Cricetulus griseus: one gene and its partners. The main gene of each other region encodes a partner of the protein of the gene in region 2 in a complex. Links are inferred from orthologs where the notes say so. Each region holds a gene or a part of one and is shown on either strand. Other genes may lie near its edges.

Region 1 (4,020 bases), on a different chromosome or scaffold from region 2:
CACATCTCCAAGGGCTCCTGATCCCCTCGCCTCCACCTCCTAAGTGCTGGGATTACACGACCCCAGACATGGCTCCTTATCAGTTCTTTCTAAAAGATTTATTTTTAGTTTATGTGCATGTGTGTTTTGCTTCCATGTATGTAAGTGTGCCACGTGTGAGTTTATGCCCATGAGGAGCTGGAGTTGTAGAGTTGTGAGCTGCTACGCAGGTGCTAGAAACTGAACTCAAGTCCTCTGCAAGAGGAGCAAATGCCACATCTCCATCCCCTTGGTTTCTTTTCATTTCTGGCCCCCCTCCCCTTGTTTTTTATGTCACTGTGGTCCAGGCTCCCTTGGAACTCACCACATTCCTGCCTCTTTTCTTTTCTTTTTTTTTTTTTTAAAGAATTTGAAATGACCTTTATTTCTTTCTCAAAACCCCCCTCTTTTCTTTTGCTCTATGCAGACAGCAACTCTGCCACATTTCACCTTGCCCATGTGAGGAGATCATGCCACTTGCCTTCCTGTTCAATTTGCTTTTTGGTTAAGCAGCTTGAAAATGCTGAGGTCTGCAGAGGCCATGCCCCTGCACAAGATCTTCCTTACCTGTTCCTCCAGGACAGAGCTCTGTCCTCAGCCCCACAGCCCTGCTGTCCTCTGAGGCCCTGGACAACCATGTAAGCTGCACTAACTCCATTTTCTCATCTGGAAAACAGAGAAAGTGTCTGCCTCCCACAGTTACTGAAGGATAAATGAGGGGAGCAAGAGCCTCAACACAGGGCCAATGCCACGGCTGGAATGTTTTCCCTGGGGCAGGTTCTCAGAAACAGAGTCATCAGAGGCTCCCATTCTATGAACTGGCTGCACATGGACCCTGGGTCAGTTCCACAAAGAGTACCAAGTGCTTCAGAAAACTGACCTGTAGCCTTTAATCCCAGCACTCAGGAGGCAGAGGCAGGTGGATCTCTGTGAGTTTGACTCCAGCCTGGTCTACAAAGTGAGTTCTAGGATAGCCAAAGTTACACAGAGAAAGCCTGTTCTGAAAAAACAAAACAAAACAAAACAAAAAACAAACCAGAAAAGCGGCCTCAAGGCTCTGGGTGCAGCGACGCCCTCCAACTTTGAGGGTCTGTCTGGAACTCAGCCTCATACAGCACATGCTCCACTACTGAGCCCCTCCCCACATGATTTATTTATTGTTTAATTTTTGAAAGATTTGTTTTATTTTTATTTTATCTGGGTGTTTTGCCTTCATGTATGTCTGTGCACCACATGTGTGCAGTGTCTGTGGAGGCCAGACGAGGCGGTGGATTCCCTGGAACTGGATTTACAGAGAGGTGCAAGCTGCCGTGTGAGTGCTGGGAAACAAGCGTGGATCCTCTTAGCTGCTAGGCCATCTCTCCAACACCTTGTTTTAAAAATTTTAAAATCTCGGTGTGTGTATGCAAGTGCATGAGCACGTGTGTGTTGTCAATGCATGTGGTGTCATCCTCAGGAACACTGTCCACTTCCTTTGAAGCCCGATTAGGCTACACTGGCTGGCCAGCAAAGCCCAAGGGTTCTCTTGTTTCTACCTCTCTAATTCTGGGATTACAACTGTGTGTCCTCATGCCTAGCATTTACATGGGATTTGGGGATAAAATCCAGGTCTCCATGTTTGCCAAGACAAACACTTTACTGGCTGGTACCATTTCTGATACCATTTCATATAGTCTAGGCTGATCTTGGACACACTATATACCCAAGAATAACCTTGAACTCGAGACCCTCCTACACTCCCCAAGTGTTTGGATTGTGCATATGCATCACAATGCCCAGCTCTCCATTTTAAGCTGTACCTCCCCAACTGCTTGTGATGGACAGAACTATCTCACATGCATTGAGTCAAGTAGTACCCTTGCTCACTTTTCTGGAACCCTACTGTCTATAATATTGTGGCAGATATCTGCCAGGGTAAGAGTATTCAGGTCAAAGTCTCAGATGAACCTGCCATAGACCTCTGGCCATATCTGGCACTCATCCAGTACCTGAATGGATGGATGGCCAGGTAGGAGCTAGTTCTCTGCAGATCCTGCTTGGTGAGGAAGAGAATACACAGGGCAAGAGTGATACTGTGATGGCTCCAGGCAGTGCCAGGCCACAAGCACACTCACCTGTGCACCAGCTGGAGGTTCTCTTGCCTCAGTCTGCCATGCTGCTCCCCAGCAGCTGCACTATCCTTCTCCAGCTCTGACACCCGTCTCTCCAGGAAGATGACCTAGGCAGAGAGATAAAGGTTTGAGGAACAAGCAGAAAAGTAGAAGCTGTGCCCCCAATGGAACATCTGCATGTCAGCATGGGGATTCCCATACCACCTGCCGAGTGGAGCCATGCTCATCCTTACAGACATCTTATAAACCCACAGCAGTGCGGCTCCCACAGGGTCACACTTGACGCAACAGAACAAGGCAAATGTCATTGGAAAATACAAGCCCTAAAGGGTACCAAGAGTACCTTCTGGCTTGTGCTTGGAACCATGAGGCTCACCCAGACACACATTCCCTTGTGAGATTCAAATGCCAGATAAAAAACACACAGAGGTGGCACAGATGTCTGAAGACAGTACAGATAGAAAGGTCCATGTCTCAGTCTTTTCCTCCTTCATGGGAGAATGTACTACGAGGAAGGATGGAGACAAGCAGAGGAAGGATTTAGCCTCAGAATACAACATAAGACTCTGAGGATTCTGAGAAGTGGGAGAGCAAAGGTAAGGCTGGGAGCAGTGAGAGATGAAGCATGGCAGAGAAGAGGCCTAGCAGAAATAGGAGGAGCCACGGCATTGTGAGGAGGAGACCAGGTAGGATACTAAGACAAAGCAGGCACAGGTGAATGCAAGGCAGAGTAAAGAGGAGATTAGGTGGCTAGGGAAACCTTAGTGGATATCATACCAGTACAGTGTGAAGAAAGGCAGGTGTACAGGCAAGTGAATTGAGTACGAAGAAGTTGGAGCTGGAAGACAGGGTGAGATGAGGTGCAGGGGAAGGCAAGGCCAGGCACAGATGCCTGGCAGGTACAGGAGGAACCATGTTAGGGTTGCTGCTGCCACCCTTACTAGACTCAGACTGGTCCTTGACAAAGGGACATGACCACAGTGAGGCTCCAGGTCAGGCTGCGGCAATGTACACAAGCCAAGCCCATGGGGGAGTTACCGCTCTGTGGAATTAAAAATGAGAATGGCCTTAAAGGACTCATGTATTTGAATAGTTGGTGTGATGGCTATTTTTGTTTGTTAGCTGACTACATCGGACATGAACTAAAACCCAAGCAGCAGAGTACATCTGTCAGTCCCAGCCCAGGAGGGTGTCAGCAGTTAAAGTAACAACATTAATTAATGACATTAAGAGTGAGATTGGGGGCTGGAGAGATGGCTCAGAGGTTAAGAGCACCAACTGCTCTTGCAAAGGTCCTGAGTTCAATTCCCAGCAACCACATGGTGGCTCACAACCATCCGTTATGAGATCTGGTGCCCTCTTCTAGTGTGCAGATATATTTGGAAGCAGAATGTTGTATACATAATAAATAAATAAAATCTTTAAAAAAAAAAAAAGAGTGAGATTGGGTAACTTGGGAAGGGGATGTGTGGGAAGACCCTATTGGAGCTGAGGACATTGAACCCTCAGGCTCTCAAGGGTTTATCTCACTTGAGGCAGTATTCTCTCCACCTCAGCAGAAGAAGTACTCCCACCCAACACTCTGAAATATGGCCTATTCTGCCTTTGACTGAGGAAATTAATCCTTCATTGTCTGCTAAACCAGCAATGACTTTGTCTGAAGGAAATGCCAGATAGCACAGTACTGATGTCCCTCATGGCTGGCCAACAGTTGCCTCTAGACCTATAATGAGACCTAAGGCTAAACAGGCTCTAGAGGGGAGGTAGAGAGTATAGTCCATGAGGTACACCACACTACTAAAGAGCTTAATGAGTTTGCTAATTCATTCCAGCACAAGTCTGGGGAACATGTGTGGGAATGGATTTTTTTGGGGGGAGGGGGTTGAGACAA
Region 2 (4,470 bases):
CTTTGGTTCATCTTAGAATAAATCTCTCTGGAATGAAATCATTTTAAAATAATTGTATAAGTAAAAAATTGGCTAAGTAATCAGTGTTGAAATAAAAAATAAAGTGACTCATATCCTGTAGCAGTTTCTAAAAAGTGGAAACTCTTCTCAGCAGATTTTTTTTTTGGGGGGGGTGGGTTTCGAGTCAGGGTTTCTCGGTGTAGCTTTGGAGCCTATCCTGGCAGTCGCTCTGGAGACCAGGCTGGCCTTGAACTCACAGAGATCCACCTGCCTCTGCCTCCCAAGTGCTGGGATTAAAGGCATGTGCCACCAATGCCTGGCAAATTTTTTAAACATCCAGTCTTATACGACAAAAAAATAAAAAATAAAACCAGAACCCACAGAGATACAAAATAATTCAGAAGTTTCTTAGTTCTTCTGTGCTTCTTTATAAAACTTACATGTTCTTTAACATAAAGATTGATTGTTTAGTGAGATGGCTCAGTGGGTAACGGTGCTTCCCATCAAGCCTGATGACCTGAGTTCCACCCCTGAGACTGACACAGTGGAAGAAAGTAACCGACTCCCCAAAAGGTGTTCTCTCACCTCCTCACGTGCCATGTGCACATTATCACACACATCAATAAATGTCGTTTTTAAACATTTAAAAAGATTTATGGCTCAAGAACTAACAAGAATTGTAACAATTTCATTTATATCATTTACTGAATCTTCACAAGAGCTAAATTTTACAATCTCACTTATTCCTCAAAAAGGTATCACAGGATTTCCTTTACTGAGGAAACTGAGGCTTAAAAAAAGTTGAGCAGGGGGGAAATAATTATAATTTCAAAAAATAAAAAAATTACTTTTGAAAAGTTAACTTTTCCAAAGTCACAGGCAAATATAAAGCCCTAGTGTTTTCTCCACAATCTAGGATAAATTAACACTCCTAGGAAAAATAAACAGCTTTCTATAGCCAACCTTCACATTCCAAATCAAATAGAAATAACTTCGAAAGAGACTAGGTACTCACTGTCATTACGAAGTACTTAAGTAAACCAACCCCAAATGCTCCTGGGATTTAAGTAATTTCACATCATCTCAGATGCCTTCAGCATTCTAGGTCTCCAATTTGTTTTGGGTTTGGTTTTGATTTTTTGAGACAGGGTCTCACTATGTAACTCTGGCTGGGAACCCACACGATCAACCTCCCTCTGCCTCCTGAATGCTGGAATTTTAAAGGCTAACTACAGCACACCAGGTTTTCCTATTTGTATTTTTAAAGTTTGGTACCTTACTAACTTACCATATAAACAGACTATCCCGGGGGCTAAATAATGATAAGGGTGTACCAGCAGCTAATACACCAAGACTTGTAAAAGTATATGGTATCGCAAAAGAAGTGTATCCTGCTTCATCATTTCGTCAGTCACTCTTAGCACCCAATGGCAAAGCCAGAAACACCATGCTTCACACTCTTGAAACTCCACCCTCCACAGTAAAGCTTTAATAGCAAAGCTTCTTCCTCTCTGGTAATGATCTTTGTTCAGCACACTACTGATGGCTGCCCTTCTAAATCAGGAGCAGAGCAAGACTACGAAAGTGAGAGCGCATTCATGAACAACAACAAAAAAAGCGTTCACTGTACTCTCTTTTCGCTGGGAACTGTATCCTTTCACTTTGGCTTCTTTCCGGACTCAACCAATAAGCAATTCTCTATCTACTCCCCATCCTCCCATGTCTGTCCACCCGCTTCGCATTTTCCCCTACCTTGCAATAAATTCTTAATTTCACTAAAAGAGCACGCCACCACTATAACCCTCTCCCACCGTTGGGGAAAGGTATGTGACCAACCAGGGCTCTTCCCTTCCTGTTGGATCCTCCCAGTATTGCAGCAGGAAGCAACCAGTCCATAGTGATAAGCTAGCTAGTATTTGTGCAGCGCACAACCTTTCCTGTCCAGGAACTGGGCCTTCAGGTCTGGCAGGGATAACAGCCACCACCCATCCGCAGCCCCTTCACGAAAGCCAAGTAAAGGAGTTATCTGGGTCTGGTTGTAGCTGAGCAGGGACACGAGAAGGAAGGGGGTTAAAAAGGCGAGGTGGGAAGTCATCTGCCTGCCTGGACACTGCGACAAGTGCACGCACGCCAGGGGTGATGGACAGGCCCTCTTGCCCTCCCTTGGTCTCCCCTCCCACCAGCCAGGTCGCACCGCAGCTCTGAACGTTAGGTGAAAAGGAAAGGCACAGAGTTGCCCATCTGCGGGGAGGGAGAGGTCAGTCCGCGGATACTGACCTCGAGGTCTGCAGGGATGGGGGTGGGGGCCCTGGGATGGGCGAATCTGGCCGAAGCCCAGGAAAGGCTCACTCGGAGGGAGGGGAAACGAAAGGAAATGAAAAGGAAAAAAGACAACAAACAAACAAATAAACAAGCAAAAACCCCGTAGAGTCGGTGCCCCAAAATGGGTGCTGAGCCTAGGCAGGGGCCTGTCAGAGGGGGATGTGAGGCCGGCAGCGTGCATCCAAGAGGAGGGGCCCGAGATGCCCAGGGAAGAAACTGCCAGACCGTGAGGAACGCAGCCATCGGGGAAGACACACAGTGAGGGGCGACGCGGCCCGGCAGCCCTCCCCGAGGCGCAGGAACTGCGCCGGCCGGCGGGACCCCCGTCGGGGCAGCAGGGAGGAAGCTGAGGCGGGCTCCGTCCAGGGCAGGGCTCTAGCCCTCGCGCGGGTCCCCCGGGAGTGTCTCGGGCCCGAACAGGCACTCGGCGGCCCAAGCACTCACCTTTAAAGAGGTAGTCGTACTCGTCGTCACGGGTGCCCATGGCGCGGCCGAGGAGCTGAGGGGCGGGAGCGGCGGAGGCGACAGCGGCGGGACCAGGGGGCGTCGCTGCAGGGGTAACCCGAGCGCCGAGCTTCAGCTGCCGGACCCGGTGAAGAGCCCCGCCCTGCCTCTGCGTCACTTCCGTCAGGCCCCAGTCCCTCACAGGAAGGACTTCCGGAGAAGTGGCGCCCCGCCCCTGATGTGTGCACGGGAGTGGACTCCGCACTCTCGGCCGGCTTCGGAAGGCTTACATGGAACAGTCTTAAAATGCCCAGCTAGATACAGTCCTACGGGCCTTTGGCTTGTTCTTTCCTTAACCATGCAGGGAAGAGAGGCATAGTGTTTGTTTCCGGTCGAGGGGGGGGTGGGGGCGGGGTTTTGTTACCATTAGACTCCCAAAGATAGTGCTGCTTCTGTGCTGGTTCCATGGTGTAATGGTTAGCACTCTGGACTCTGAATCCAGCGATCCGAGTTCAAATCTCGGTGGAACCTGTTTCTTTAGTCTTTTGTTATTATATTTATTCTTAATTCACATTGAATGACAGAATAATTGTATCTGCTTTTGGATATAATACATATAGTATTTACCTATAAAGATTCACCAATGAATCTCTTCAGTTCAGTAGTGTCTGCTACATGGAGACCAGGACATTAAACTCTTACTTCATTTTAGCCTTGAAGGAAGCTTGTTTCTTGATTCCTTTTGCTGGAATTTTCTACCTTACGCTTCAGTTAAGGATAAGCACTTCTCTTCAGAAATCTCTTACACTATCTCCAAATGTCATTAAGAGAACGTCACCCACCATCCTCATAAAGATCCATCAAGACCTTGAGTCTTATCTGCTGGCCTCCAAGCTAAGCCAGGTTAAATAAATTTAACACAGAGGACAGCAACTTCCATTTTAGCGAATGTCAATGTTAAGACTCAAGTGATTTGCTATAACGTCTCCTCATAGTTGTTTTGTTCTTATTGTTGTTTGAGGCAGTCTCACTCCCCTCTGTAACCCAGAATGGCTTTGAAATCACTGTGTAGCCCAGGCTGGGCTCTGCTATGTTCCTCTGCCCCCTCTCACCCCACCCTCTAAACACACAGAGGAATATTCACCCAATAATTCCTGGGAAATGTATGTTAGGTCATGGGAAAAGAGAATTCAGCTTACAGATGGAGTTCAAGTTGCTAATCAACTGACCTTAAGCAGGGATATTATCTTTGATAATCTGAGTAGACTCAGGGTTGTCCTTAGCGTCTTCCCAAAGTGGAAAAGAGGGGGTTGTCAACAGGGATGTGGTGCTCCTCCAAGTTGCCACCAGCCACCTGAGGAGAGGGAGCTGGATTCAGAGAAAACCTGACTCTTGACTTTGCTTCATCTCAGCGTGATAAAATATGAAATGGAATTGGAATTTATTAAAAGAGATTTTCATATAGATTCTAAATTCTATGGTTAAGAGGCAGTGAGGGTCTCAGAAAGAAAGACATAGCCAAGAGAATGAGCTTTTCAGAGAGTCCTGCCTTGTCTTTACAGGCTCCATATCCACCAAGGATTTCAAATCTATCATCTTCAAGGAGTTGCTGAAGAATCTGAGATCATAGGGTGGCTCCTACTTGGTGAATAGGAACATAACTGATAGGGTAAAATTCTAGGTCACAAGGAAGGTTGCAGGGGA
Region 3 (4,564 bases), on a different chromosome or scaffold from region 2:
CATAAAAGAAGACAAGTTTCTTGAAAATATGTATTGTTACAGTTTTCCTACAGGTTAGTAGTAAGAACGCATGACAAGAGAAGGTTTGCATACTCCATGGTTTTGGACCCTCTCTAGTACAACAATGTGGTGGACTTTAGGGGAGGGTTGCTGTTTGGTTTTTATAATTTTTTTAAATTACAATTATGTCATTTTCCCCTTCCCTTTTCTCCCTCTAACTCATCCCATGCCCCCACCCCAGCTCTCTCTCAAATTCATGGTCTCTTTAGTTATTGGACTATATATATGAATATATATGTGTGTATACACACACATATTCCTTAATACACAAATACAATCTGCTCCACCTATAATGTTACCTGTATGTATATAATCTCTGGGCTGACCACTTGGTATTAGATAAGCAGTTTGGGGCTCTTCTCTCGGGAAGACCACTTCTCTTTTCCTTTGGAAGATTGCATGGCTCTTTCTGGTACCATGAAAGGTAGTCCTCCAGGAGGTGGCTTTAAGTCAATCCTAGCTCCAGTCCTCTGGGTCTTGCATCTGAAGGGCATGATGTCTTCAGCAATAAGGACTTACTTTCCATCTCTGGGGGCAGGAAAGGGGAATCTCTTGGACAACCCTGACCAACAACTCAAAAGGGGAGTCTCATGCTTGGGAGTTTTTGTTAGTCTATGGCCCTTGGAGGAAGTGTTGTCAGTCCACATGAGAAGATTGCATTTCAATTGTATATGTGTATGTGTACACAGAATATATATATATATATGTATATATATATATACATATATATATAATCTCTCTGCCTAAATTATGATATATAATTTTAGGCAGGGAGATAACAGTATGCTTCTTTATAACTTTTTCATACATTATTACTGTATTTATCTTTCCATTTTGCCCCTTTCCCTCTTCAGGTCAACTGTACCCTGCTACTCCCCTCTGTTGCTCTCCTCCTGCACTTTCGTGGTTGCTGCACTTGCTCCAGGCTTTATACTCACATCGTTTTAACTGAGAGCAAATATTTCATGCATGCACTCTGTCTGGCTGTATAGCATTTGCGTCACTCCTGGAGATGTCTCCTTCAAATCCCTTTCCTCTCCACAGCCCCATCACACCTGGCTACCCTCCCCTTCTCAAGTCCCTTGCTAGTTACTGTGGCGTCTCTCCCTTTCCAGTCTGTGGGTCTGCTTTCTTATTGTTTATTTTGTGCTGGTGATACTTTGTGCATATTTCAGAGACCATGCCTTACCTTAAGTCATGTGGGCAAGTGAGGGTGGCAGTGTTTGCAAAGCTAGAATGCAAAGTTGGTGTATCATTAAATCACCCTTGAACGTGCTGTAAATTGCCCATTGTGTGTGCTAAGTATGATGTTGGGTGAGTGTCCCTGTTGAGTAATTTGTAGGAGCTTCAAGTGGAGAACCCATAGAGGATAAATGTAAGAGGCCAGAGGCACGGGGAAGCCAGCCTGTAGATGCAGCCACCCTGCATTCAGAACAGAGGAGAAATGTCACACAGGTTGTTATTGGAGGGAGACTGGGAAGATTTATGATAGCATGTGGCACGGACTGGCACAGGCTACTCGCCAAGTGTTTACTGGATTTTGGTCTGAGGTTTGTCCAGTAAGATCTGAATCTGCAATGCCTTCCTAAAGCCACATTAGAACGAAGCTGCCTGGTTCTTCTTTCTCAGCCAGATATATCTTCCCTGCCCTCCTTGTCTCTTCTGCATGGACTGAGTAGCCATTATCCACCCTGACCCCCAACACACACACACACACACTTAGGAGTTGTCCCATCACTCCTTCAACTATATTTTGATGAGTATCACCTGCCCTACTAGGTAGGTTCCTGAAGTTTGGGCAGTTGATTTCCATGTCTGTACTGGATTATGTGGTGCTCAGGGCAATATATTTTAGGTAAAACCAGGCTCCCCTATAAGATGCATTCCATTTTTAATCACTGAGCACACCTGCTAGATGTGCTGAATCCTAAGGATTCAAAGTAATGTGTCTAGAAGATCTTGCAATCATGAAATGAGACTCACTTGAAAGAAATGACTGTGAAGCCAGAAAGGAAGCTAATCAGACAGATTTACTATGGTCTCAAAGGCTAACTTTTTTGATGATAGTAGTCAATAAAAAGGTGATGATAGTCAGTGAAAAGGTGATCATAGTAGTCAGTGAAAATGTGTGGTTGAGGATGTTTACATCATGGTGGGCCACAGAGTCAGAAGACAGTGGCTGGATCAGAGCAAGGGATGAAGGCAGGTATAACCATCACAACCCCCCCCCACAAGTCCACTAGTGTCATGATTTCAGCTAGGCCAAACATCCTAAAGGGTCAGGGCCTCCTGGATTAGCAGGTCCAGGGTCCAAAATCATTTAGAGCATGAGGAGATATTTTGGATTTATACCATTAACAGTGGGTGCCTTTGACTTGTTGGCCACTTCCACTGAATGTAGACTGTGAAGTCTTGCTGTGCTTCCCTGTGTTTGACCAGTATTATTTTACTAATTATAACATGCTCCATCCTTCTGTTTTGTGTCTCCTTTTAAAAGGGTGGTAAGCCTGTGTTGAGCTGTCTCCTGAAAGAATTTTAATGTGACTATCACGTTTTCTTAAGACTGAGAGGGTGCTGTTGTAAACTAGTCCTATGAACTATTTATTATTTATAATATTGAATCATCTTGTGTCTTTAGTGGGACTCATGGTATATGGATGTTGCTGTAGAATATTTTCCTGACAACTCCTTTATAGATGCTGACACATGCTTTGGATGCTTTGCTTTGTGTCTAAGTCTCTTTTCTTCTCATCTTTCAGTACACAAGGGTCTGGATCCCTGACCCAGATGAAGTGTGGCGCTCAGCTGAATTAACCAAGGACTACAAAGAGGGGGATAAAAGCCTGCAGCTCAGACTGGAAGATGACACAGTAAGTGCTGGTCCTTAGGGTGGGCGCCCAAAATATATGGACTTAGATTTGCCTGCCCGTTGGTGTTTCTGAATTCCAAATTCTTCTGTCATTGTTAATGATAGTGTATGTGAAAAGTGACAAACCATGAGTCTGCCCACTCATGTTAGCAAGTGGAGTTTGACTGGTAGCTGAGACAAGAGTCTTTATGTTGGAGTGAAGAGAACAAGTCTGCTGTGTTGAGGCATCAGCAAGAGGGAACAATCCCTGGGAACAGAACAGGTGGTGGGAGCCTGGGCTCAGGGTACCTTTGGCCAACAGTGGGTAATGTTAATGCAGGATCTACGTGTGCCCAGTGCCCGAGACCCCAGTGTTGCATGTGCACAAGGGAAGGAAGGCAGACCAGTGATCCTGGGACCCAGGAGGCCTGAGGCTGAGGTGACAGACAGCCATTTTACAAAGGGTACACACAGGGAGCCTGGTTTTAAACAAAGTGGTGGGATGACATGAAGAACTGGCTTTAAGACAGACAGATGGCTAAATGGATGGGCTGCAGAGCAGGATAGAGTGAATGAAAGGTTTGTGTTGAAATCCAGGGCCTGGAATGTCTATATTGTGTCCTTTGCCTGTGAATTATTAACTGTCTTGGTGTTGTTCATTCTTCGAAGTATTTTGTTCTGTTTCCCACTCCAAATGCTTGGTTGAGCAACCTGTTGATTGAACATTCTCCAACCACCAACCCGTGCTGTATGAATTCGAGTGTGTCACTTTGAGTATGGCACTGGGGCAGGTGAATTCAGGTTGGTTAGCATGTCCTTCTCCCTCTAGCTGACAGGCTTTGCTAGTCATATCTTGGCTTTGAGGGAAGAAACAAAACTGTCAGCAGATGGAATCTTGTTTACCATTTTGAATAACTTCCCACCCTGCCCCTGAAACAAAATGAATTTAGTCCACCCGCTTGAATAGAGTGGATTCTACTCCAACAGATTTCATTTCAGTTGGTCTTTTCATGTGGGTGGGTGTTGTTAAAAGCTGTATGGAGGAAGCAAGGGCTGATCTGTCATGTTGCTAAAACAGCAGATACTTGTGTCCTTGACTGCACACAGCTTTGGCCCTGAACGACAAATCTTGGAAGCTGCCCATGGCCCATCTTTTCCTATCCGGCTATGAGACTGGTCACGGTGGAACTGGAAGAAAGCCCCGGGCTGGAGATCAGCATAGGCTCTGAGCATACAAGTCTCTCTCTCTATTGCCTGTGGCTTACGGCTGGCATAAAGCTGGCCCCAAAAGTGACTGGGCACTGTCCACTGGAGGTAGGGACACAGGCACTGCATGGCTGGAGGCTGAGTGCTTGAAGAGCAGTTCTTCTGAAGCTGAAGCCATCCTGTACTACCATCCTGACCTCCCAGCCCCCAAAGTAAAATGCTGTTGGTTTTAGTGCAGAAGCAAATGCAAAGAGGGTAGGCCAGATTTTTTGCTAGGAAATCCAACCCCAGGCTGATAGCAGGAATGCCTACTTCACTGCCAACAGCCGCCTCTGATGAGGTATTCAGGCCTCTCACCATTCATCTTAGATGCCCCTCCCACTTTTGTTCGGTTATTTCTTCTAGTAAACTGTAGAATATAAATGTAACCAGGCGGTCCATTTCTAAGTG

Evidence for each region.
Region 1: the proteins of Rab11a (region 2) and Rab11fip3 are in contact, whole or in part, in a crystal structure (PDB 2HV8), measured with the Homo sapiens proteins. The link is inferred for Cricetulus griseus from reciprocal best matches to the Homo sapiens genes RAB11A and RAB11FIP3. Residues at the interface, in NP_004654.1 of Homo sapiens: Arg33, Ile44, Gly45, Val46, Glu47, Phe48, Ala49, Thr50, Trp65, Arg72, Arg74, Ala75, Ile76, Ala79, Tyr80, Arg82; in NP_055515.1 of Homo sapiens: Asn731, Phe732, Gln735, Ile738, Asp739, Arg740, Ile742, Val743, Met746, Glu747, Pro750, Ser751, Leu753, Glu754, Val755, Lys756.
Region 3: the proteins of Rab11a (region 2) and Myo5b are in contact, whole or in part, in a crystal structure (PDB 4LX0), measured with the Homo sapiens proteins. The link is inferred for Cricetulus griseus from reciprocal best matches to the Homo sapiens genes RAB11A and MYO5B. Residues at the interface, in NP_004654.1 of Homo sapiens: Leu11, Lys13, Arg33, Glu35, Ile44, Gly45, Val46, Glu47, Phe48, Ala49, Thr50, Gln63, Trp65, Glu71, Arg72, Tyr73, Arg74, Ala75, Ile76, Thr77, Ala79, Tyr80, Arg82, Gly83; in NP_001073936.1 of Homo sapiens: Ile1627, Gln1628, Gly1629, Leu1630, Trp1706, Met1710, Arg1713, Tyr1714, Ser1717, Gln1718, Glu1721, Arg1724, Gln1745, Leu1747, Gln1748, Leu1749, Lys1750, Lys1751, Glu1755, Ala1759, Leu1763, Tyr1779, Glu1786.

Annotation. Positions count from the first base shown.
Region 1 is NC_048600.1:45,614,874-45,618,893, forward strand, and holds part of Rab11fip3 (rab11 family-interacting protein 3), read right to left. Parts: intron 2,237-4,020; coding exon 2,133-2,236; intron 1-2,132. UniProt on the Homo sapiens protein: Downstream effector molecule for Rab11 GTPase which is involved in endocytic trafficking, cytokinesis and intracellular ciliogenesis by participating in membrane delivery. Recruited by Rab11 to endosomes where it links Rab11 to dynein motor complex.
Region 2 is NC_048597.1:176,352,416-176,356,885, forward strand, and holds the start of Rab11a (ras-related protein Rab-11A), read right to left. Parts: upstream 2,928-4,470; 5' UTR 2,807-2,927; coding exon 2,767-2,806; intron 1-2,766. UniProt on the Homo sapiens protein: The small GTPases Rab are key regulators of intracellular membrane trafficking, from the formation of transport vesicles to their fusion with membranes.
Region 3 is NC_048595.1:165,305,204-165,309,767, reverse strand, and holds the start of Myo5b (unconventional myosin-Vb), read left to right. Parts: upstream 1-1,364; coding exon 1,365-1,374; intron 1,375-2,796; coding exon 2,797-2,930; intron 2,931-4,564. UniProt on the Homo sapiens protein: May be involved in vesicular trafficking via its association with the CART complex. The CART complex is necessary for efficient transferrin receptor recycling but not for EGFR degradation.